Saccharomyces cerevisiae S288C: one gene and its partner. The protein of the gene in region 2 interacts with the protein of the main gene of each other region in a biochemical or structural test. Each region holds a gene or a part of one and is shown on either strand. Other genes may lie near its edges. The genes, in order: MYO3 and PUT3.

Region 1 (8,388 bases), 210 kb from region 2:
AAGAAGATATTATCAGTTTCTCCGATATTCGTTCCGTCCTCATCTGCGCATTTAATGGCAAATTGAACAACTTCTAAATCTAGCAGGTTGCTGCCTATACGCAAAGACTCAATCATCCATTGAGAAAATTTCACGAAATGATTGTAGGTATCGTCAATGGCTAATATGGACTCTGCTGTTAGCGTTAGGTCCTCGTTCAAAGTTTTAGATAAAATTTCCTTTTGTAATGACTGCGTTAGATAATAGTTCAGTAAGTCAAACGTTTCAACACATTTAACAAACATTGAAGCTATTGGTAAAATTACCTTGTCAAACGAATCCGCCTCTGGGTCTAATTCGTTTTTACCTTCATTGATAAACTCTGATGCATTATAGCTTAACACACAATCGTTGTAAAATCTCAATTTCTTAACAAATTTAATCAAAGTAGTTCTCTCGAATCGTAGCGTAGCTACCCTTCGCAAATGACTGATGAACTTGTTCAGCACGTGAATATAAGATGAGAGATACCGGGAGAGTAAGGCGAGTATTTGTTCAACTAATTCACAAGTTCCAGGAGTGACTTTGATATCTTTGTCTTTGCTCATTTTTAAGTGTCTGGTATTATGCAAAAGGAAAATTAAGGAGGGTTTACTGTGCTTTCTCTTTTTTTGAGAAAAATGTCTTGAGTAAAGTGAGGATTTTACTGTCAAATCTTTAAAGCTTGTTTTGAACGATGTCCTGCATTAAAGTGGGAGTTTTTCAAAACGGGAAAATACAAACAAAAAATGAAAAAAAAAAAAAAAAAGGGACTTTAACTTTCTGCGAGAGTATGTTTAAAAGTATATGTAATGCACTTTTGGTATGTTAAGAGGCATGCACGAAGAACCATTCTATAAGAGACTAAACATCTATATATTCATGTTAATTACCAGTCATCATCATCATCGCCATCGTCATTATCATCATCGTCAGCACTTTCCGCCCGCATTTTGTTTGCTCTTGCTGCCAATGCAGAAGCTAAACCGTCGCTAAACGTCCCCACCGGATTACTCTGATTATCACTAGTGGGTCCAACTGTTGCACTTCCAAACTGTACACCTTCTTGTGCACTTGAAATGGTATTGTCGATTTGGCTTGATTTCTGATTTGTAACGTCATTCACTGCCCCTGTCGCTGCAACAGGCACCGTATTTCTTGTGTCTTTATAAGGAGTCATATAAGCAGTAGGAACCCAACCTTCTTTGCTTCCATCGAGAAGCTTTGCTAAAGACCAACCACTAGGTTCATCTCTGCTTATAAATACAATATCGCCCTTTTTTAATGGCAACTCCGAAGATGATCCGGAACCTGGAAAGTCGTATGCAGCTTCGAATTTCGGATCCTTTGGTTGGCCCATGGGGGGAGGGGGTGGTGGTATTGGTATGTTTGCAGTTGCAGTTGCAGTTGTCTCCTTTAACGGTTCTTTATTTTTTTCAACCCCTTTTGAAGGTGGCATCGATACCTGGTTTTGCTTGGCGGATGAGGATTTGTGGCTTGAGGAGGCTTTCTTTACTGCGACTTTTTCCTTCGATGAGGGTTTTGAGCTGTGTTTCGAGCTTACTTTTGCAGCAGGGATTGCAGATGACTTTATTGGTACGGTCTTATCCGGTTTAGGATTGTATGCTGCCTGTGCAGCGGTAGCTGCCAAAGATAACGGATTCACAGGTTTTTGCGAAGGGAGAGGTTGCTTTTTTGCAGCATCCCTATGACTTCTATGGCTATGTGTATGCTTATGAGTAGATTTGTGTTTACTCTTTTTGCTTTTGATAGGTTTCCCGCTCAACCCACCTGGATTCTTAGGTTTTTTATTCGATTTGGAGTTAGCAGGGTGTCCACGACGCACGTATATTGTACTTGACTTGTAGATGTCACCGTATTTCGGTGCTGAATCGCTTATCTTTGAGCGGACAGTGTGCAACTTGTTTGGTTGTTTGTGATACTCAATCGTGGGACCAACTTTTATCATTATCTTTTCATTTAATTTTTTCAAACGTGTCATTAATTCCGTCTTGAAAGGCGTGTTAATGAGTGGATCGGATTGTGTACTATTAACAAGGATAACGCCCATCCAATCGTCTTGGAGGTTTGTTAAGCTCACTTGTTTAATTTTACCGACATCAATTTTATAATCTTGTGTATATTTCATAGCATTCTGTTCCCGTGTTTGTCCAATAATATAAAATGTCTTTTTTGTTAAGATAAACACTTTTTTCAATCTTTGAGCTGATCTGCCAAATTTAGAGTGCAGGCATTCCCCCTTTATCGAAAAAACAACTTTATCCTTAATTCCTACCTGTCTTCTGATGTACGATCCTTTCGTTTTAGACTCATTGCAGGATAAGTAATCACCCATAAAAGCCCTGTATCCAAGTAAAGACATGGATCTTCTCTCTTTTTTACCCGCTAAAAGTTTGGTTCCATAATCACGAAGCTTGACGTACTTGTTTCCACCCTTTTTCTCTCTGATAGTACGCTGAATTTTTATCGCAGCATCAATACGCCTTTGAAGAAACCTTCTCCATGCTCTCTGGATTCTAGCAGCCATGTTGTACCAGTATTTATCACGCATGTCTTCTAGAGCAAATAGAGATTCTGGAGTTTTAATGAATACGCTTGTCACTCCAAGTTGAAATTCTTTTTCTGGTATCATGGCATCTCTTAAAATAAGCTTGACTGCCTCAAGGGTGTCCCCATCCCAAGTGTAATCACCAGCATATGAACAATCTGGAGATAGTAAATAAAATCTTTCGACGAATTTTTCGAAAGTTTGTCTGTAAGCGAAACCGGCTCTCCTGATACGAACATTTTCTTGCAAACCCAAATATTTTACTTGATGTAGCACTTGGTGATCATCATAATCATTTGGTGATTTAGTTTGATTAGGCTTGATTGTTCTGATATAGGAAGGCTCAGCTTTTGACAAAGTTTCCACCAGTTCATTTGCACTTTTAATAATTTTGTCACCTGCTGTTGGAGGCCGTCTCTTTGAATCTTTGTCAACATCATCAGGAAAAATTGTGGAAAGGAATGTATTTGTCGTTGTTCCAATTAATTCAATTAGGTCCTTTTGAAGTTGGTCTTTATTTTTATCGGTGATACCATTGATGTCATAGGTGACATCTCCAGCGTAATGTTTAATAACAAATTTGTTGGCCCTTAATTCGAAGTATGGATTTGAATTAAATAAGTTAAGTCGTTGAGCAAACGCCTGGTCAGCGGCATTGGAGTCTGCATGAGCAGTTGCAATAGAGTCATTCATTGCAGCAAGAATGCCCGGTGGATTTTTCGCCTCGATTAAATCACAGACAACTTTATTGTCAAAGTATTTGATGGGGGTCCATTTGATTTTTTCTCTTTCATAAGTTTCTTGCTCAGCCTTCAAAGTCAATTGGATAAAAATCTGTTGTAACTTTTCATTAACATAATTGATACATATTTGCTCAAAAGAGTTGTGTTCAAAAATTTCGAAGCCGTAAATGTCTAGAATCCCAATTGATTTATCAGCACCAGGAAATGCCTGCAAAGATACGTTAACCCTATCGACAATCCAGTCGAATAAATTATTATAAATTGCCTTAGCAAGGGCGTCTCTCACCGCAGTTGCTTGGACTGGGTTCAAAGGTACATGATAAACTGAGCCTCTCTTCATTCCATGACTGGTTTGCATGATTCTTTCCACTAAACATTTTACCAGTAACGAAGCATCAACCTGCAACAAATAAGCGACAAAATCAGTCACTGAGGTATCTCCTACCTGAGCATTGCCCTCTTCATTTTCTATAAAGGAAATGTTACCAATCCACAGAATTGCCGCCAGCATCCTAAAAATTTGGTCTTGTTCTTCCTGGACTAAACCAATGGTTCTCATAGCCTCTAACGTGCCTTCGTAATCTTTTACGTCATCAATTGTATCTGCAGTAGTACAGCCAGCCGCAGCAGTGTAAATATATTGCTCAGGCATTTGCACACCGAACATCTGTTTATATGTATCAGATGCTCCCTTAGTGAATTGGTAAAAAATATGAAAGTTTCTTTCGTTCTTAATTTGACCAACAACTCTTTGTTTCTCTAGCAAATAATTTGTGATATTACCTGCGCAAGGTTCAAATTGTGAGTTGAATTTAATTTCTAGATACTTCCCGTGCCTTGAAGAATTGTTGTTCCGCAGAGTTTTAGCACAACCGAATGACTCGAGAAGTGGATTAGTAGCAAGAACCATATCTTTGATCTTCCCAATCGATTCTGAATGGCTATTAGATGCAGCTGCAATATATTGCATAATACGTTTGGCTGCTTCTGTCTTACCGGCACCAGACTCACCAGAAATAATAACACACTGATTTTCATTGTATGATTTGAGATTGTAGTACATAGATTCCGCAATAGCAAACACGTGTGGTGGAACTTCAAGTCTATTTTTTCCTTTATATGACTCTAAAACGGCATTTGTATATATTCCCAAATCGCGGAACGGATTTACACTAATTAACACATGGCCAATATAGGTATAAATAATTCCATTCTTAAATCTTTTTTTCAAATTTTCATTGATAGATTCATCAGATATTTTTGACAAAAGTGTCAAATCAGAAATACCTACTTCTTTCTTTTTATTTGCATCAAATGTAGCCTTTTTGATTTTTGCAGATCTCTTCTTGGGCTCCTTAACGTCCTTTCTGCGTGCTCCCTTTTTTATGACAGCCATTGACGGTTATAAGTATTTCTCTTTACTTTTTTTGATTCAAATGTGATCAGCAAATTAATGTTTTATAACTGGATTGTTGTTAATTTGCTCGCGGTCAATTGAATCGAGATTGCTTTAACCCTTTATAATAGATTACTCTATATTTACTTGTCACAGCAAACGGTTTCCTTTTTCGGTAAAGCTCTTCCCGAGGTTTATTATATAAATGCAAATCGATCAGTTTACCTTTAGTTAGAAAAGCGATGGAGCTAGCATCTTGCTACTATATAATAGTTGTTCAAGATCGTAGGTCTGCCTGCCGAGTGATTAGGGGAGGCTACTGAAGTTTGTTTTAATGTACCGGTTACATTTTCTTGTACGAAAGTATATGAAGGGGGCTTATTACTTCCAAGCCTATATTTTCTGTGGCATCGATTAGTATAGTATAAAAGAGGGAGTGGACATAGCGGTGAAAACTATACAAGAATAAAAAAGGAACTAAGAACCCTTTGCATTCATATAATTTCACATATGCATTTTTTATTTTATACTCAAATGTATGTTCTCACCTAGCTTGAGAAAGCGATGATCAAAGTGAAAGGTTCAACCATTTCTCAAAGTGCTTAACACATTATTTGAAAAGAAAGGGTTTTATTCCATCCACTCTATTATATCTATAAAAAATTATTTAAATTACCCACATATTTGAAAGTCCCGAATGGGCGCTGTGGGAAAATTCAGAGCCTGCCGCGATCGGCCGTGTTGACTGGTACTTCCACGACGACAGCGACGACTTTACCTGTGTCCAGGTTATAAATTGGAGGATGCTGTAAGTTTCTCAAGACACTTTGAATGACACCTGAGTGACAAGTAAGCGAGATGAATTTTTCTTCGCTTGACAATTGATTAAATAGTTCAAATAATCCATTCAGTGTACGTTTGTCCATTTCAGCACACGTTTCTCTATGATCAGGAAGCCACAATTCATCATCTTCTGGGTAATCTGGTACATATTGCCAATGTACAGTGTGGCCCGATTCCGTGCTGAAATCCTGGTATTCGTCAACTGCCATTGAGTGAGCCACTCTTTTGTCACAAGTGTGAGAGCCCAACGTCTCCCTTAGACCTTCTATAATGCGTGTAGAAATTTTAGTTCCGGCCGGTAATTCTTGCGTCTCCGCTAACACTGGTGTCCACGACTCAATGAATGTTTCGAGACATCTTCTCATTGGAGAACTGAAAAACACATGAGGTAGCATACCTAATTGCTTTGCCATTGGTAGCAAGACATTCGATCCTGTTCTTCTAACTTGATCTTTACCCAGAGGTGTCAGTTTAGAGTCAAGCCACTCTCCATGTTCATCGCCCGAAAGCAACGACCAATAGGCGTCCCATTTCTCCATACCGTACCTCAGTATGGCAGCATTGTGGTAACCTTGACCATGCCTAGCTAAAATCAACAGCTTATAGTGGCGATTTTTGGTATTTCTAGGGATAGCATGATACAGTTCCTTCCAATTCTTATGGTTAATCAATTCTAAGTGATCATATTTCGTGGAGTCTAATCCTTGAAAACCCTCACTTGGATATGCAGCAAAATATCCTGGGACTGCTCTGAGTGACATTGTTGAATAACTGTTGGTGATTTCACGCAGCAGAGTCTTGGAAAGAAATCGTTAAATAACATACAAATCTCTCGAGGGTTTTTTTTTGCAAATGACACTTTTTACTTTTTCCAGTACTAGCTAGCACCCGAAAAATTAACTTGACTCGCACATGCCTGCTGGGTCATATCCGAATCTGCAAGAAATTAGGATTACAAATATTTATTCAAACGTTGCACAACCACGCAATAGAAGATAATATCTGTAAATTTTAATCGCTTTCATCTGAAAACACTGAGCCTCTTCTTAATTTTCACGGACTTTTTCGCAGCCCAGGTTTGACCGGCTAAGTACGAACCTCTTTTGTTTGGAATAAGAGTTTGGTATTAATCAATTGTTGGTACAAAAGATTAATAGTATTACTTGTGTTTTCAGAATATAATTGTCCGTGAGCGTCCTAACTGTCATCGAGTTTATAGGAAGCTAATTAGTAAGGACTGACCATGCAAACCCAGCAATGAATGAAAGGATATAAACGAGGGAAGAAATGGTAGCAGTATTAAGTAAAATTGTCCATTTCCCCTCGTGAAATTATCCAAAACGCGGCAGAAGAACTTTTAAGTTATCTACTGTACATAGTGTTATTGTCCTCACGTGAATTGAATTGAAACTTTTTCAGAACATTATCGCTGAACTATAAATGAAATTTTGTAATGATTGTTCTGATCCCATCTTACTAAAAGCATTATTGTGAAGTATAAAATACAATAAATTTCTTCTCAAAAAAACTTGCCGTACATGATATGGAGAAATAGGTGAATTTAGGGATAGTAGTTATTATAATGAGCCTATTATAGAGAATCTATTATCGATTTCTAACGGTCGTATCAATCTGTTGTATTACGGGCTCGAGTAATACCGGAGTGTCTTGACAATCCTAATATAAACAGTCTTAGGGAAGTAACCAGTTGTCAAAACAGTTTATCAGATTAATTCACGGAATGTTACTTATCTTATATATTATATAAAATATGAATCATACTAAGTGGTGGAAGCGCGGAATCTCGGATCTAAACTAATTGTTCAGGCATTTATACTTTGGGTAGTTCAGCTAGGGAAGGTCGGGTTTTGTCTCATGTTGTTCGTTTTGTTATAAGGTTGTTTCATATGTGTTTTATGAACGTTCAGGGTGACGTATTGTCATACTGACATATCTCATTTTGAGATACAACACAATCACGTTTAAAAGCCTTGTTGGCGCAATCGGTAGCGCGTATGACTCTTAATCATAAGGTTAGGGGTTCGAGCCCCCTACAGGGCTTTCTTTTTAAAACAGGATGCTAAAGCCGACACCGTTCAAACACAAGTGGCAGCTTTTCTCGAGAACAGCAATGCCCACAGTTTTATTTACAATTTTACACTATTGACGTGGAGATTTTTTTATCCCGCATATGACCTAGTAGAGGATCTCTGTCTTCCCCTGATAAATGTCAAATGTATGACGTTACCACAATTGTATCACGGTGGTTTCAGTCTGTCATGAGGAATAAGGGCATTCAGTACCGACAATGCTATACTTGTAAATAGAAAAATGATGTTCTAAAATCGGCATTCTCGCTATTTGAGATTTTGTCTTTTTTTACCTGGTATTTCGCGTTTATATTACGGATGCAAGAAAAGGAGAAGGGCGCATCACATCGATTTTGGTCTACCTATAAACATTCTCTCTCTCATCCACTTTCGGTTCAATAGTGCAAAAATAGGTAACTAACAACTCAATTGAATAGTAAATGTCACTTCTAATAGATTCTGTACCAACAGTTGCTTATAAGGACCAAAAACCGGGTACTTCAGGTTTACGTAAGAAGACCAAGGTTTTCATGGATGAGCCTCATTATACTGAGAACTTCATTCAAGCAACAATGCAATCTATCCCTAATGGCTCAGAGGGAACCACTTTAGTTGTTGGAGGAGATGGTCGTTTCTACAACGATGTTATCATGAACAAGATTGCCGCAGTAGGTGCTGCAAACGGTGTCAGAAAGTTAGTCATTGGTCAAGGCGGTTTACTTTCAACAC
Region 2 (17,293 bases):
TCCATCAAATCGAAGGCGTTGTTTCTATTTTAGAAAATCCTTCCACTCCGGACAAAACTGAAGAGGATTGGAAGGGAATTTGGTCTGTTTTAAAAAAATGTATTTTCCATGAAGATTTCGACGTGTCAGGTTTCGAATTTACTTCTACAGGGCTAGCTTCCTCCATAACTAAAAGAATTACATCCTCAACGGTATCCCATTTCATTCTTGCTAAATCATTTTTAGAGGTATTTGAGGATTGTATTGACAGATTTTTAGAAATCCTACAATCTGCTCTCACAAGGCTGGAGAATTTCTCTATAGTTGATTGCGGTTTACACGATGGTGGTGGTGTATCTTCACTGGCTAAAGAGATAAAAATTAAGTTGGTTTATGATGGCGATGCAAGCAAAGATAATATTGGTACTGATTTATCATCTACTATCGTTTCGGTCCATTGCATAGCTTCTTTTACCTCACTTAATGAGTTTTTGAGACACAGAATGGTAAGAATGCGTTTTTTGAATTCATTAATCCCAAACCTTACATCTTCCAGTACCGAAGCTGATAGGGAAGAAGAAGAAAATTGCTTGGATCATATGAGAAAAAAGAACTTTGACTTTTTTTATGATAATGAAAAAGTTGACATGGAGTCTACAGTATTTGGTGTGATATTTAATACATTCGTCAGGCGAAATCGTGACTTAAAAACTTTATGGGATGATACACATACAATCAAATTTTGCAAAAGTTTAGAAGGTAACAATAGAGAGAGTGAGGCAGCCGAGGAAGCTAATGAGGGGAAAAAGTTAAGAGATTTTTATAAAAAAAGAGAATTCGCACAGGTTGATACTGGATCTTCAGCGGATATTCTGACATTGCTGGATTTTCTACATAGCTGCGGTGTTAAAAGCGACAGTTTTATCAACTCAAAACTAAGCGCTAAGCTCGCTAGACAACTAGATGAACCATTGGTAGTAGCAAGTGGAGCTTTGCCGGATTGGTCACTATTTTTGACCAGGAGATTCCCATTTTTGTTTCCGTTTGATACCAGGATGCTTTTCCTACAATGTACTTCATTTGGTTACGGAAGATTGATTCAACTTTGGAAGAATAAGAGTAAAGGCTCGAAAGATTTAAGGAATGACGAAGCTTTACAACAACTTGGGAGAATTACTAGGCGTAAGCTGCGGATTTCAAGAAAAACAATATTCGCTACCGGTCTCAAGATTTTATCCAAGTACGGAAGTAGCCCTGACGTACTGGAAATTGAATATCAAGAAGAAGCAGGAACAGGTTTAGGACCGACTTTGGAATTTTACTCCGTAGTTTCCAAGTATTTTGCAAGAAAGTCGTTAAATATGTGGCGTTGTAACTCTTATAGTTACAGAAGCGAAATGGATGTTGATACTACTGACGATTATATTACCACTTTATTGTTCCCAGAGCCCCTCAACCCGTTTTCCAATAATGAAAAAGTTATTGAACTTTTTGGATATTTGGGGACATTTGTTGCCAGATCGTTGCTTGATAATAGAATTCTTGACTTTAGATTTAGCAAAGTCTTTTTTGAGTTATTGCACAGAATGTCTACGCCCAATGTGACGACAGTGCCGAGCGACGTTGAAACCTGTCTGTTAATGATCGAATTGGTAGATCCGTTACTCGCAAAATCCCTTAAATACATAGTAGCGAATAAGGATGACAATATGACCCTAGAATCGTTGTCCTTGACATTTACCGTTCCTGGAAATGATGACATTGAGTTGATTCCGGGGGGTTGTAATAAATCCTTGAACTCTTCTAATGTTGAAGAATATATCCATGGCGTTATCGACCAAATATTAGGTAAGGGCATTGAAAAACAGTTAAAAGCATTTATTGAAGGTTTTTCAAAGGTGTTTTCCTATGAGAGGATGCTAATACTTTTTCCGGATGAATTAGTGGATATTTTCGGACGAGTTGAGGAAGACTGGTCTATGGCAACTTTATACACAAACTTGAACGCTGAACATGGCTATACAATGGATTCTTCAATCATTCATGATTTTATATCAATAATATCCGCGTTTGGTAAGCATGAAAGAAGATTATTTTTGCAATTTTTAACGGGATCTCCCAAGCTTCCAATTGGGGGATTTAAAAGTTTGAACCCAAAGTTTACAGTTGTGTTAAAGCATGCTGAAGATGGCCTAACAGCAGACGAATATCTACCAAGTGTAATGACATGTGCTAATTATTTGAAATTGCCGAAGTATACTAGCAAAGATATTATGCGGTCTCGTCTTTGTCAAGCCATTGAAGAGGGTGCAGGAGCTTTTCTACTTTCCTAAATTTTAGTTACTTTTTCTATTTAAGTTTTATATGACTTCAAAATTATTTCTTAAGATACAAAAAATGGATGGAATCAGACTAAATTTCTTCGGATTATCCGTACTTTTCTCATTTTTTTGTTTCAACTGGCGATTCCATATTTGTTTATCCATTGCATACAACGAAGGCTTACGGTTATACAGTCTAAAGCTAAAAAAGATAGTAATATGTCGACAGCACAGAAAGCTAAGATATTGCAACTCATCGATTCCTGCTGCCAAAATGCAAAAAGCACACAACTGAAATCTTTATCATTTGTTATTGGAGCAGTAAATGGCACGACGAAAGAAGCTAAAAGAACCTACATTCAAGAACAGTGTGAATTTTTGGAGAAGTTACGACAACAAAAGATAAGAGAGGGAAGAATTAACATATTGTCTATGGATGCTGGTGTTTCTAACTTTGCTTTCTCTAAGATGCAATTGCTCAATAATGATCCGCTCCCTAAAGTACTAGACTGGCAAAAGATAAATCTAGAGGAGAAATTTTTTCAAAACCTCAAAAAGTTAAGCTTGAATCCTGCTGAAACTTCTGAGCTTGTATTTAACCTTACGGAGTATTTATTTGAATCTATGCCGATACCAGATATGTTTACAATTGAAAGGCAACGTACCAGAACTATGTCTTCGAGGCATATTTTAGACCCAATTTTAAAAGTGAATATTCTCGAACAGATTCTTTTCTCTAACTTGGAAAATAAAATGAAGTATACGAATAAAATACCGAATACGTCCAAGTTGAGGTATATGGTATGTTCGTCCGATCCACATCGGATGACTTCATATTGGTGCATTCCAAGAGAAGAGACACCGACCAGTTCAAAAAAGTTAAAATCTAACAAACATAGCAAAGATTCTCGAATAAAGCTAGTGAAAAAAATACTTTCAACCTCAATACTAGAAGGTAATTCAACTAGTTCTACAAAACTGGTCGAGTTCATAGGAGTTTGGAATAATAGGATAAGAAATGCCCTTACCAAAAAAAAAAGTTTCAAGCTATGTGATATACTAGAGATCCAAGATAATTCGGGGGTGAGAAAAGATGACGATTTGGCAGATTCATTCCTCCATTGTTTGTCTTGGATGGAGTGGTTAAAAAATTATGAAAGTATTACTGAACTCTTGAATTCAAAAACACTGGTTAAAACACAGTTCGGACAGGTGTTTGAATTTTGTGAAAATAAGGTACAAAAGCTGAAATTTTTGCAGAACACTTACAACAATGACTAAGAAATTGTGCGGTGATCGCAAACTTGAAATAACATGTAATCTCTATGTATAATTTATATAATGATTAACAAGATAGAGGTCGACACGTCAGAATCAATAGTCCAATTCCACAGCCGGAGTTAAATGCCTCTTTTTTGACGCGGTCAACGTTAAGTTTGCAGTAGCGCTTTCGGCAGTCGGTGCAGAGCTTTCAGGCTTAAAATCCTCGAAAATTTGTCTTCTTATGTTATCTTCATCGCCTAGTGCCTTGTATTCAAGAGATTCGCCAAGCTCTTTGGAAGCTAAATCCCACGTACTAGGCTTGGGCTTACCGGTTTTTGTATATGTCCTTTGCAAAAGTAACCAAAAATAGTGCTTCTTTTGCTCCAATATCCTACGCTCATTTTGGAGTTTCTGTTGTATCTTTTCGTTTCTTTGCTTTATCAAACCATCAACAATCAAACTGATGTCTTCTTTATCCACCTTGTCAAATTTCCGGTCATTTTCCAGAACTTTTTCTATGTTTTGCTTGGTGATCTCGTCGCTATCGGCATCATTCCATTCAAAATTTTGATCTATCAACGTCTGTTGGGCTATTGATCTTTGTGCAAAGATGTACATCCTTTGTTCATCAACAAAATCTAAAAATAAATCAAGGCAGGACGAGCCATTCCTTCCAAGCATATGTAAAAAGCGCGGATCAGACTTTATATGAGGATAAATATCTGACCATCTAGTATTTGCTTTGATTTTGATTGGCACTTCTCTTAATAAGCTTTTAAAGTTATCTCTAGCAATACGGTCTCTGGTATAATTGCGCAGTCGGAGCTCATTTAGTTTGTTTTGAAGATCGTTTTCAATCGTATTTACTATTTTCAGATACTCGTTTAAAACATCTTCGTGGGTTAAGACTTTGAAGTGCCGGTTCGCCATATATCTCTTACTCTTATCAAAAACATAGTGATTTAAAAGCTGCTGCCAGGTTATGAAAGTTTCAGAGGATGATGTTGTTATAATACCGTTTAAATACTCTCTTAGTTCTTTTAGGGCCTGTGTTTTCAATTTTTTTTTTGATTCTTTCTGAGTGTCGATGAGGGTATCTATATAATCTTGAAAGGTCTGTCTCTTTGTCTTTTCATTGACCACGGAGTGTTTGTATATTGGTTCGTCGGCAATTAGTCTCTTTGCGGTAGGCCAACGGGTGTAATATTTTATATGAGAATTGTTTTGCAACATTTTCTGAAAGGCTTCTTTGAATTTGCTTGTTTCATTGTGTTCCTTAAGAAGTTGATCGGCTGATCTATTGGAAAGATATTTCTCAAACATTTCTTTCTTCCATAAGGGGTCATCATCGACCATCCAATACCTTGGATCTCTGGTCCCCAGTTCTGAAATAATTCTACTGAATGACCAAGTAGAGTCTACTTGATTTTCCTTCAGCATGGTAATAAATTCCTTCTCTGCTTCTTCTTTAGTCCTTCTCCTGACATTAAGCAGTTTAGAGTTATTAGCATATTGGCTTTCCTCCTCGTTTATAGTTCGTCCCGGCTCTTGTTTTTCTCCAGCCGTAAGGGCTATTCTATTTCCATTAACCTGTGCATGGGATACTGTATCATGTTTTTGTTCTGCGATGGGTTCTACTTTCTTCTCGAAGGCCGGAATAGTCCAGCTGGTTTCTCTTGTTGTTGGATTATAATAGTATACTTTGCCGTCTGCCGTCTTGGCCGCCTTCCAGCCATTTTCTCGAAGAAGTAGCTCCTCCTGAGAAATTAGTTCCTTGGGCTTCTCCCACGTAGATTTCTTTGTCAAAGTATTGTAATAATATATCCTTCCACTTGCATCTTTAGCTTCCTTCCAAATAGACATAGTTTCACGTCTCCCACCTCCGGCAATGCTTGTCTAGTGGTCGATCTGGCTTCAGACCTTGTTATCCTGATAGGTAGGCACGCTATTGCGATGTCATCAACTGCCAGATTTCCAAGTACATTATTATTGTCGATAATTTCATATCGTTTACCACGTCGCCCCTTTTGTATAGCAAAATACAATTATAGAACAAAAAAAGCCTGTAAAGCCAAGCAAATAGAGGCTTTCGGAACAACTCGGTGTCACTTTGACAAAAGATAAAAGAGGAAGCAACTGATAGTAGGAAATGTCACAATCATTACGTCCGTATCTAACGGCTGTTCGTTATTCCCTGGAAGCTGCGTTGACTTTGAGCAATTTCTCTTCGCAGGAAGTGGAGAGGCACAACAGACCGGAAGTTGAAGTCCCTAACACTAGCGCCGAATTGTTGCTCCAACCGATGCATATATCTCGTAATGAAAATGAACAAGTATTGATTGAGCCCAGTGTAAACTCGGTGCGTATGAGTTTAATGGTGAAACAGGCAGATGAAATTGAGCAGATTTTAGTTCACAAGTTTACTAGATTTTTGGAACAGCGTGCTGAAGCATTCTACATTCTGAGACGTGTACCAATACCTGGCTACAGTATTTCTTTTCTAATAACTAATAAGCATACTGAATCAATGAAAACTGGGAAATTGGTTGATTTTATTATTGAATTCATGGAGGACGTGGATAAGGAAATCAGTGAAATTAAACTGTTTTTGAATGCCAGAGCAAGATTTGTTGCGGAAGCATATCTTGATGAATTTGTCTATTAGATTCCTAATATAGGAAAGGGAATCTTTCTCCGTCAGGGCCCTATTGACGGAAAACTTTACGATCTGTACTGACTGTGTTAGTTTGCGTACTCAATTGAACTATTTCGAGACTATTTAGTTAGATACAATAACATGTGTATGTGAATTAATTATAAACGTACTTTTAAATTGCAGTTACTTTGTATAATTATGGTGATTTTTTTAGTACTTAAATTATATTCATAAAAAGGGATTAAAATGTTTCTCCCGACACCTAAAATTAAACTTCAATCTGTCAATTCTAACACAAAACGTTTTCATTTTACGTAAACAAATGAAGATTGAAGATTCTAAAGCATTTATTATTACTGCCGCACTAGTATACGACCAAACTAAAATTATATGATAATAGTGCACCAACATATAGTAAACAGCTTTTACCTATGCACGACTTGCATGAGGATTTCAATATTATATCACTGTAGACGAAATATGAAAAATTTCAGCAATAAAGCTCATCGCAAAGAATAGTTCGGTTATATTCTTGATTGGATATTATTTCTCTAATCTATGCGGTACTACTTCATCTAACAGAACTAGAGGAGCACTTACATAATGAGTAATCATAGCGAAGCCTATGGATCTCGCGACCAGAGAAGGGAGAAGTACACCCAAGGGAAAGAGTTCGAAGACGGTACATTAGAAACACTAGAAAGTATAATCAGTGCAGTCGAAGATGAAACTCTCTCCAAAGATTACCAACCTCTAATAGTGTTCTTCCAAAGAGGATTTGGTGCTCAATTGGTACAGACTTGGTCATATTATGCTCAAGTAAATAACCATGGGAAATTCTCGAAAACTACCTCATTACTGACTAAAACCTTACGAGTTTTGTCATCTGATACTAGTACAGTGACTATTGGGAGCGGTCTAATTAGATTGATATTGACCGATTACACAAAAGTTCTCTATAGAGGGTTGAACAATATGCGTGCGCAATTAACTAATCCAATTCTTCGTCTACTCAAACAAATAGTCAATTTCAACAATGGGCAACATATAGAGGAATTAGTTTCATATTTCGATTTTTCATTACCTATTTTACCAAGACTGTTGGTACCAAGCAAGTCTGAGTTAGCCAATGGGAATTCATCTGCTGATTCATCCAAACATGACTCATTAAGATTTACATTTATCAAGTTTTGGTTGACATTGATCTCAAATGCTTCCCCATTCGTGAGAAAAGAACTTTTGACAGAAAACTTTAAGATTATGAGCAACCTATTTAAATTCATGAATAAGGCTGATTCTGACAAGTTATCTGAGCACATACTATCGGTATTCATAAACGACATTTTAAAGGAGAAATCCTTCAAGAGAACTACTAAAACCAAAATTTTAAATGAACTAGCGGCTTCAAAGATTCATCACTTTTATTATTCATCAAACAAGAATTTGGTTAAGAAGGCAAATGAGTTTTTCTTAACTTTTGGAGCTTCCCGTGACTTTAGCGTAGCATTTCCTGATAATTGCGTTTGGTTCAAAAATTCAGTTGCTGATGGAGCTTCTCATGGAGCTCCGATAACCGTCAACCAAGTGGAATTTCAAATTCATAATAAACTTTTGTTCAACACTTTACGCCTTTTCAAACCTTGGGAAGATACGCTGCAATTAGGTACGTTGATCAAAATATTGGAGAACGTTCCCGAACTTGTTGCTCCTTACAGCATCTTTTTAACGACGAATGGTAACTATGACCCTAAGATGACTTCGTATTGGTTTGGTATAACGTTACTGATTAACAAGATTATTAATCTTAAGATACCGCAATTTATGGAGAAAGTTGATAGCAATATTCCACCTGCCACTTCATTAGTTATAGAAAACATTCTGCCATCTTTGCTCACCAAATCCTCGTTGGTTAAATCCCTACAATTTGAAACACCCATCATAAGACAATTAGCCTGTCAATCAATAGTTCTAGCGTTAAAAAAATTAGAAAAAGTTTCCACATTTTATGATCAAAAAGGCTGGAGAAATGAAAAAACTATTTTACTCAACGAGTTTCATACTAGAATTCCTGATTTACCAATCTTCGTATCTACTTTGAGCAATTCTTTGGCTTCCAATAAGGATAATAGAATTTTACCTCTGTCCATATCCATCATATTCAACTACTATAGTAAAATGTTCCCCAACCTCTTCTCAATTAACCTACCATCATCAAATATTTACACAGATATCATGCAAAAATCCAAGATTTCTGGCATAGAATTTGCTATTCTGGACAACTACTTACAATTTCAAGAATTTAACTCTACTCAAACCAGGTGGTGGAATCCAAGTTCTGGTGGAAATTCTTTATTCACCCTACTATTAAAGCTAGCATCCTCCAAAAATGCTTCTAACGTGATAACTACAAGAATATCCAACTTGCTCGATGAGCTGACGAGAACAAACGTTATCTTCAACATATCTTTAATTTCACCAGTGATGGCTTTAGTGAATAGTCTTCAAGGGCTTTCCCTTCAAGTTTCTGAAATTGACAACATGGAACAAGTCTGGAAGTGGTTTGACGAAACTATATCTCGTGTCGTAAAAACACCATACAAGTACGTCGATATGGCAAAAGAGTATAACTACATTTCTCCCTTCATAATGTGCCTTTCAGAGCAATGGAAATACGTTGACAAGAGTGGAAACCCAGAGTTTTTAATTAAATGGCTTATACTTTTTCTTAGAAACATGATTTTCATTGGTGAAGACCATATAGGCATAGATAAACTTGTTAAAAATGTCTTTCCTGAGGTCTCTGATCATGATGTTAATATATACTTGAAACTTGACTCATTTGAAGAAAACATAAAGAAAACTAATAGCTCTAATTCTTTAATTTCTTCAATGAAGAGCTCATCTTTTTTCCAGTATATTTCGGCGCTTCCATCTAAAAATCTAATGAATATTTCTAGATTACCAGTGAACAAATTAGATGCGGCAGGAATCCTTTTTAGAGTTCAGTTATTGGTAGAAGACGATTCTGTTGTATATGACAATTGGTTCGAAGCAACTGCCTGTGAGTTAACTGGCAAGATTGCTAGCTACATGGTAACAGACACAGAATTCCCAATTATCAAAGTTTTGGAAAGGTATATAAATTTCGCTTTACCAAAACTGGCCATTGAAAAAAGAAATGCTCTACTCATGAAAAAATCAAGGTTCATGTGCAATTTAATCGGTGCAGTATGCTTTGAAACAGGCCATCAATTAGTGGAATTCCGAGAAATAATTCAAAAAGTCGTGTTTAGTGGTGAAAATGTCGAAGAGTATGCCAACTATAATGAGTTGTATCAGAAAGAAGATGTAAATGCTTTCTTAACAAGTGTTAGTGAGTATTTAAGTACTTCAGCTTTAACTTCGCTACTCATGTGTAGCACCAAACTAGAGTCCACAAGAAACATTCTCCAAAAATTATTCAACGAAGGAAAAACTATAAAAATATCCCTTGTAAAGAATATACTGAACAAAGCTGCAAATGAAGATCCTGCTTCAATTAAGGAAGTAAACATCTCTTTGGCTAAATTTTTTGAAGAAAACAAAGTTTGTGTTGATGCTTCATCTGATCCTATGGGTAAGCTATCCCTTTCAGAAACTACTTCTCTGATAAATAGTTTTGTGTCTAGTGATTTGAATTATCTAGTACTGAAAGCTTTTTACAGATGGGAACATTTTTCTTTCCCATCTTTCATACCAAGTATCTGGAGGATCAAGGATTCACCTTTACTAAGTATTGTAACAACGGCTGCTTTGTTCAAGCACATGCAGGATAAAGATTTTAGCGCATTTGCGCATGAAACCATTTCCAAGTATGGTAATGAAATTGCGAAAAGTACTTACACTACCTCGAAAAGTGAGATTTTTGACGAAATATTAAATATGATTACCACTTATATTGATTTCTATGACGAAACGAAACGAAATGAAATTTTGAAATGTGTTTTATCACAGAGCGACCATAAATATCATGCTGCTACAGTAAGATACATAGCTGCACACAATAATTTTACTTATCCAGGGGTAGAAACATGGTTACATAAAACTCTTCTTTACCTTACAAAGTACCTTTCAGAAAGAAAAGTTATCTCCAATTCTTTTTTTGAGTTACTAAGAGCGATGGCTGAGCTCTTAAAACTTGAAGAGGTACCAAATAAGTTGAATGTCAAAATCATTAATTCTCAATTAGAGGCTATTCTAGGCAGTGAGTGGATCAAACAAATTAAGGTTCTTGAATACGTTATTGTATTAATTTTTTGTGTGAGCAAAAAGTCAATTCAATCGCAAAGAATGGTTCAACTTTTATTAAGCAATGACAGTTACTCATCAATAATGATTAAAGACAATGATGAAGATTCATCGTATCGAAAGTTCTTAAGCACAATGATATTATTCTCTTTATTCAGCATCGACCCGGTCGTAAATTCGACGCCAATAGTTCAAGAGAAATTATTGACTTTTTACTCCGGTACTATTTCCAGTAACGACAAGTTGATACTGAAAATTCTAGAAACTATCGAATCTCACACCGCTACTTCATGGACAAACATGATTTTTTCTTGGGAATTTATCAAAGACGAAGAGGAAGAAATCTTGGAAGCCATTGGAGACACGAGGCTGATTACCAAAGAAAGGGAGGGGTTGATACTAACACTACAAAAAAACATGATCAAAAAGTCCATTGACAGATACGTATTGGAAAGGCCTCAAGTCCCTGAATTATATACCGATTCTAATACAAACAATTATGATGCTACTACAAGGTGTGACCTAGTCAAAAAGTACTACGATGATACCGAACGATCTGGTGTTGATATGTACGATCCATTATTTTTACTGCTATTAATAATCCATAACAAAGAGCTGGTAAAAATGGTCAAAGATGACGAGGGCAATGTAACATACAGATATGAATTTGAAAATTTCCTTGATTGCAAAATATTTCAGTTTATTATTTGCTCATTAAGCGATTGTCATACCGTTGCCAATATAAGTTACGAACATTTATCAAATTTAGCTTCTTCTTTGGAGAAGAAAACTGCCCAGATGAATCTTGAAAAGCAAATAACTAGCAAGGATAATGAAAGAAAAGAATCTGATAGCGATTTAATCAAATATAATAGCATTTACCAAGTGTTGATTAAAAGGATTTTATACCAGAGACAACAAAATCAAGATCCTATCAATCCGTTAATTTGGTTTTCTATCTCTAGAATTGTTGATCTATTGGGAAGTCCAACTGCGCCCTTACATGAGAAGGCATACCGCTGGGTATTATCAAATTCTACCATACGTAGTTGGGACATCCCTATGGTATCTGATGTGATGATGTCCTACAATAAGAGACAACAAGATGACAATAAGAAAGAAATTGATATGGAAATATACTATGGAGAATTGAGTTGGGTTTTAACAACCATTTGTAAGGGAATTAAAACGGATGAAGATTACAAGATGTTAGAGAAGAAAGGTGTATTTGAATGGTTGTTAAACTTGATCAATATGCCATACTTGAAAGAAAGATTACGCGAACTAATCTATTTTATTTTTTACAAAGTCCAAAGGGTAGCAGATGATGGTGGTTTGAATTTAATTAGCAGAAACGGTATTGTGTCGTTTTTCGAGGTTTTGAACAATAACATCAAATCTAGACTACCACAGGACGATATACTGAACAACATTGGTACTTTACGGAACGAAAACAGAGGTACATTAAATACTACTTTGAGGTTAGCCCAAGAACAAAACGGAATTGAAAAACTACTATTAGGCTACAACGAGCTTGTCAAATCACAAAAAAGGCTAATATTATGGACAGAAGGTGATAGCGACAATGTTGTCAAGAGGCTACGTAAATGAGCTGTCTTGTGATAGATATTTTAAATAAGATTTGAAGAATTAAATGTCCACTTTTCTATATAATGTGCGAAATGTATAATATATGCATAAGAAAACAAAGAAATCAGTATTTTCTTCTTTGTCTTTGTAATGGTGTTATGGTCCTAAATAATCAGTAAAGTCAATTTCACTACCAGCAGCTGCAGTTGGATCCATAGTATTTCCCAGCCACATTGCTTGATCAGTGATTTCCTTCCAAAGTTTTTCATCGGAATGATCAATATTGCCTAAATCCTCCAACAATTGTTGTAAATCGTCATCATTTAGATTATGAACGGAATCCAACTGATCCATGTTTTTTTCCATCACCTGAGAGCCCTTTTCAGTTAGCGTGGTTTGGTATGAATTTTCCAAGCTCGCAGTTATGATATCAAAAAAAGTAGAAGGTTCCGAGTTATTGACGTTAATATCATTAACATCATTATTACCATTACTATAATCAGTCAGCGTTGGTTTCGCGCCTTCCGGAAGTATGCTAACAATGTTCGATATAGATTCGTTCTTGATCATATTTGTATTGGTGTTTGATTTATCACAGTCTATAATTGAAGGGTCAATGCGATCGCCATCTTTGTGAGGTTTACACTTTTCGGTTTCTCTTTTGGGTTCATTGCTATCTTCTACTATGTTATCGTTTTCACAATTCATAGAATCAAATTTCAAAATATCGTTATATTTAGTAATCAAGTCATTCATTATGCCGTGGAAATCCAAATTTGCCATTAATGTTAATAATTGTGCTCTTCTTAAGCCTGCTGGAATGTTGCCTAAGTTTCTCATTTGTGTGAAAATTTCCAGAGAATGATCCAAATGATATAGTGTTTGTTCATGAATACCAAAAGCAGTGTTGAATAGTAATAAAGTACAAGAAGAAGTAAAAAGATACTCTCTGTCCATATAACTAAACATAGCAAGCATACTATTCTGTAATAAACTCCACAGAGACCTAATAGTATTCACAGAAGCATGCAAAGAACATGTTAATAAGGAAGATATTGTGGCAGAATAGTTTTGTAAGTTGACGAAAGTATTGCTCGTTTTGAACCTTTTCAATTGAATGGATGCAAAATGAAATAATAAAGGTCTCACGGCCAAGTTTATTCCTTGAAAATATTCCGTAAACATATTGGTTGACAATCTCGATATTTTGAAATCTTCATCCTTTTGCGTAAAATCCACCTGTAAGGAATCGGACAAATTGTTCCTCCATTCCAACAACTGCTTGATGACAACTTTCAAAGTAATTATGATGTTTGTCTCAGGTTGCCTTTGATATAATTTGCTCAAAATTTGTGCATTGATTTTCACAATAGTAACGCAGTTAGAAATCAATTCTGCCTTTCTGAAAACATAGTGACTATTTTTCTCTTCGATAGTTTCATCATCAATATCCGCTGGCAGTGCTGTAGAGATTGTATAATCAGTGAAACTTAATGGTAACCCAGCTTTTGAGCTAAGCATTCGTTCAAACATGTAAACTGTCCACCAAAGTCTCCTATGATGCTCGATTTCATACCTGGATAGAGTGTCGCTTTGAGAATCAACATGTAAGCCTAGAATTAAGCACGTCCTTAGGGCTTGACCGAAGTAAAAATAAGAGGCTAAAGTGTAATCAGCCACCTGTAAGAAGAACGCGTATAACAACAGGACTTCAATACCGCCTTTCTTAGTCACATTTTCTAATCTTTCACTTGAGAACAAACAATTAAAAATTTTAGAACCCATTTGAAAAAATTTTGAACCGGGCAATTTTGGCTGATTAGAATAATTCTTCAACATTTCATTATTGATGGAACCCAGATACATTTCACCTACTGCTAAAATTAACAAAATTTTGCAAAACCAAACAGCTTGTAAAATTGGATCATTCTCATTGTCCAAAGCTTTTTTGGTATTATCATAGTATAGCCATTTATTTTCCAAGTACAATTTGTTAATGCCACATTTAACCAGGCCTTCGTTGAAAAAGTAAAAACAACCATCGTTATAATTTATAAAGCAGTCAATTAATAGTTTTGTGTAATTATACGAAGGCAACTGAAACTGTATTACCTCTTCCTGGCCACTACTACCATCCGTATCGCTTTTCAAAATTATCTTAAACATCAATGGAGATAAATTATCGTTGATTGAGTTTAAGTTGACAATAGTCGATATAGGGTTCAAAAAATTATAGGACGAGAAAAGATAGTTGTTTGAATTGATAAAAGAACTTATAGCCGGGTTCAGGTTTGAATTTAAAATCTTGTTTTTGGTGTTTATTGGCAAAGGTCGAAAATTCTTGACCGAAATATACTTTGTAACCAAAGATTGAATTTCTAACCCAAATAATGTCATTGAAGAAGATCCAACAAAATAATGGAATCCATTGTGAGATTCTATGAGCCTACCACTTCTTTGAGCAAAATTTGTTGATATTTCTTCATCATCTTCATCATCATCCTCATGACCATTGGCACCGTTGCCATTTTCGCCATTAGCATTAGCTGGTTGTTTAAAGATGCTGATGGCCTTTTTGTAGTATTTTTCCAAACTATGATCATAGCTCCTATTATTTGTGATTCTGTTGCTGTTGTCATCGTCGTTATCGTTATCGGACGCAGTGTTACTATTGGACATGAGGTCAAATATAGGAGCCGCCGGAGCGCTGGATACTTCCAATGTGTCACTTGAGGGTGCATTGTTTATATGCCTCTCGTCATCATCGCTGTTATCCTTACCACGTACACTCACTGGTCTCTCCAAGAGCAAAGCTTTCAGGCGGTTATTCTCTTCAGTTTTATCATTCAAGTCTTTTTGCAGTTGTTGCAGATACTTTGTCGACACAACAATTTTTTTTGACGGCTCCAAGTACTCACATATGGCATTGCTCGTAACACATTTTTGGCAAGGGTTACCACCAGGACATTTTATATGACGTTTCCTACAAGAAAGGCATGCGACAGAAGATCTCTGCTGCCTTTTTTGCGGTTGTTTATTAACGTAGGCTGGTTGCTTAGATTGTATCGAATGCCTACTGCCTTGGTCGGTCACCATTAAACTCGTTAAGATCACTGCAATTATCCTATCAATGAGTTAGTTGGACCAGTGTCGTATTTATCGTTATTGTAATGGTTACTTACTAATTGCTGCTTAGAAAGCTTTAAATTGCCGCCGAAGTCAAGTATATCATCAAGCACCTGGTGGATGTTTTCATTTTTACTCCAATATTCGCCACCTCATTGCCGCGGAGAAATATCGTTTATAATGACATATCCGATGACTCAATCCCATAAACGAGGTATGGGTGTATATCACGTGATATATTATGCTCACGTGATGACCACGTGACTAATGAGCGGGTTACAAGAATTATTTTCTCTTCGATTTGATTGGATATTTGTCTTGATGCCCCCAAAAAAGTAAAAGATACACCAATTACCACTTGCTGCTTAGCGTAGGTGTAAAACATATTTCTACTAGTACAATACTTTTCTATATAAGTTTATATATTCATATTGACACGTAACGCAAAAGAACAATCTTAGGATTTAAAAGAAATTTTTCGTGCACTTAATTGCAGAATCACCTAATTATATTTTTGTTCGACTATGTCTTTGGCCAAATCCGCTGCTAACAAACTTGACTGGGCAAAAGTCATCTCTTCTCTACGTATAACAGGGTCGACTGCCACTCAATTATCGAGTTTTAAAAAGAGAAACGATGAGGCACGTAGACAATTACTAGAGCTGCAAAGTCAACCCACCGAAGTAGATTTCAGTCATTATAGATCTGTGTTGAAAAACACTTCAGTCATTGACAAGATAGAATCATACGTTAAGCAATATAAGCCGGTCAAAATCGATGCCTCCAAACAATTACAAGTGATTGAGTCTTTTGAAAAGCACGCAATGACCAACGCCAAGGAGACAGAATCCTTAGTTTCCAAGGAGTTAAAGGATTTGCAAAGCACCTTAGATAATATTCAATCTGCAAGACCTTTCGATGAATTAACTGTTGACGACCTGACAAAGATCAAACCTGAAATTGATGCTAAGGTAGAAGAGATGGTCAAGAAGGGTAAATGGGACGTACCTGGTTACAAGGACAGATTCGGCAATTTGAATGTGATGTAGTACCCTTTACCTCTATATATTACGCACCATATTCTATTATTTTTTTCACAGGTTTATATAACTGGCAAATATTATAATTAAACATTCTTACTGTCATATATACACAAATGTGCGCCTGCATATCCTTACGCTAAGAAAATCTTGTACGTTACATATATTTCAAAAATATGAAGGCTGATGTAAAGTTGTCTCTTGAGAAATATAGAAAAAAGAGTAGAGGGAAATGAACAAAGAATTGGCTTCTAAGTTTTTATCAAGCATCAAGCATGAACGTGAACAAGACATTCAAACAACTTCTAGGCTATTAACAACGCTATCTATCCAACAATTGGTGCAAAATGGCTTGGCAATAAACAACATACATCTAGAAAACATAAGATCCGGTCTCATTGGCAAATTATATATGGAACTGGGACCTAACTTGGCGGTTAACGACAAAATTCAAAGGGGTGATATTAAGGTTGGTGATATTGTTTTGGTACGCCCTGCAAAAACCAAAGTAAATACCAAGACTAAGCCCAAAGTCAAAAAGGTGTCTGAAGACTCCAATGGCGAGCAAGCGGAATGCTCAGGCGTTGTCTACAAAATGAGTGATACTCAAATCACCATAGCTCTAGAAGAATCTCAAGATGTTATTGCTACCACATTTTATTCTTATAGCAAACTTTACATTTTAAAGACTACCAATGTCGTCACGTATAATAGAATGGAATCCACAATGAGAAAACTGTCTGAAATTAGTTCACCCATACAAGACAAAATTATACAATACTTGGTAAACGAACGCCCCTTCATCCCCAATACAAACAGCTTTCAAAACATTAAATCTTTTTTAAACCCGAATCTGAATGACTCCCAGAAAACTGCCATTAATTTTGCCATTAACAATGACTTGACCATTATACATGGTCCTCCTGGTACGGGTAAAACATTCACATTAATTGAATTGATCCAGCAATTGCTAATTAAAAATCCTGAGGAGAGAATCTTAATTTGTGGGCCTTCCAATATTTCTGTGGATA

The links.
Region 1: the proteins of PUT3 (region 2) and MYO3 form a complex in vitro, tested with the Saccharomyces cerevisiae proteins (one study listed by BioGRID).

What each region holds. Positions count from the first base shown.
Region 1 is NC_001143.9:195,442-203,829, forward strand, and holds MYO3 (myosin 3), read right to left. Parts: upstream 4,727-8,388; coding exon 908-4,726; downstream 1-907. Other genes in the region: SHE2 (She2p), read right to left, coding at 1-587; PMU1 (putative phosphomutase), read right to left, coding at 5,443-6,330; phosphoglucomutase PGM1, read left to right, coding at 8,100-8,388. UniProt on the Saccharomyces cerevisiae protein: One of two redundant type-I myosins implicated in the organization of the actin cytoskeleton. Required for proper actin cytoskeleton polarization and for the internalization step in endocytosis.
Region 2 is NC_001143.9:406,443-423,735, reverse strand, and holds PUT3 (Put3p), read right to left. Parts: upstream 15,193-17,293; coding exon 12,253-15,192; downstream 1-12,252. Other genes in the region: putative ubiquitin-protein ligase UFD4, read left to right, coding at 1-2,312; CCE1 (cruciform cutting endonuclease), read left to right, coding at 2,520-3,581; snoRNA-splicing protein PRP40, read right to left, coding at 3,675-5,426; ARC19 (Arc19p), read left to right, coding at 5,713-6,228; URB1 (Urb1p), read left to right, coding at 6,823-12,117; ATP7 (F1F0 ATP synthase subunit d), read left to right, coding at 15,747-16,271; ATP-dependent 5'-3' DNA helicase HCS1, read left to right, coding at 16,495-17,293.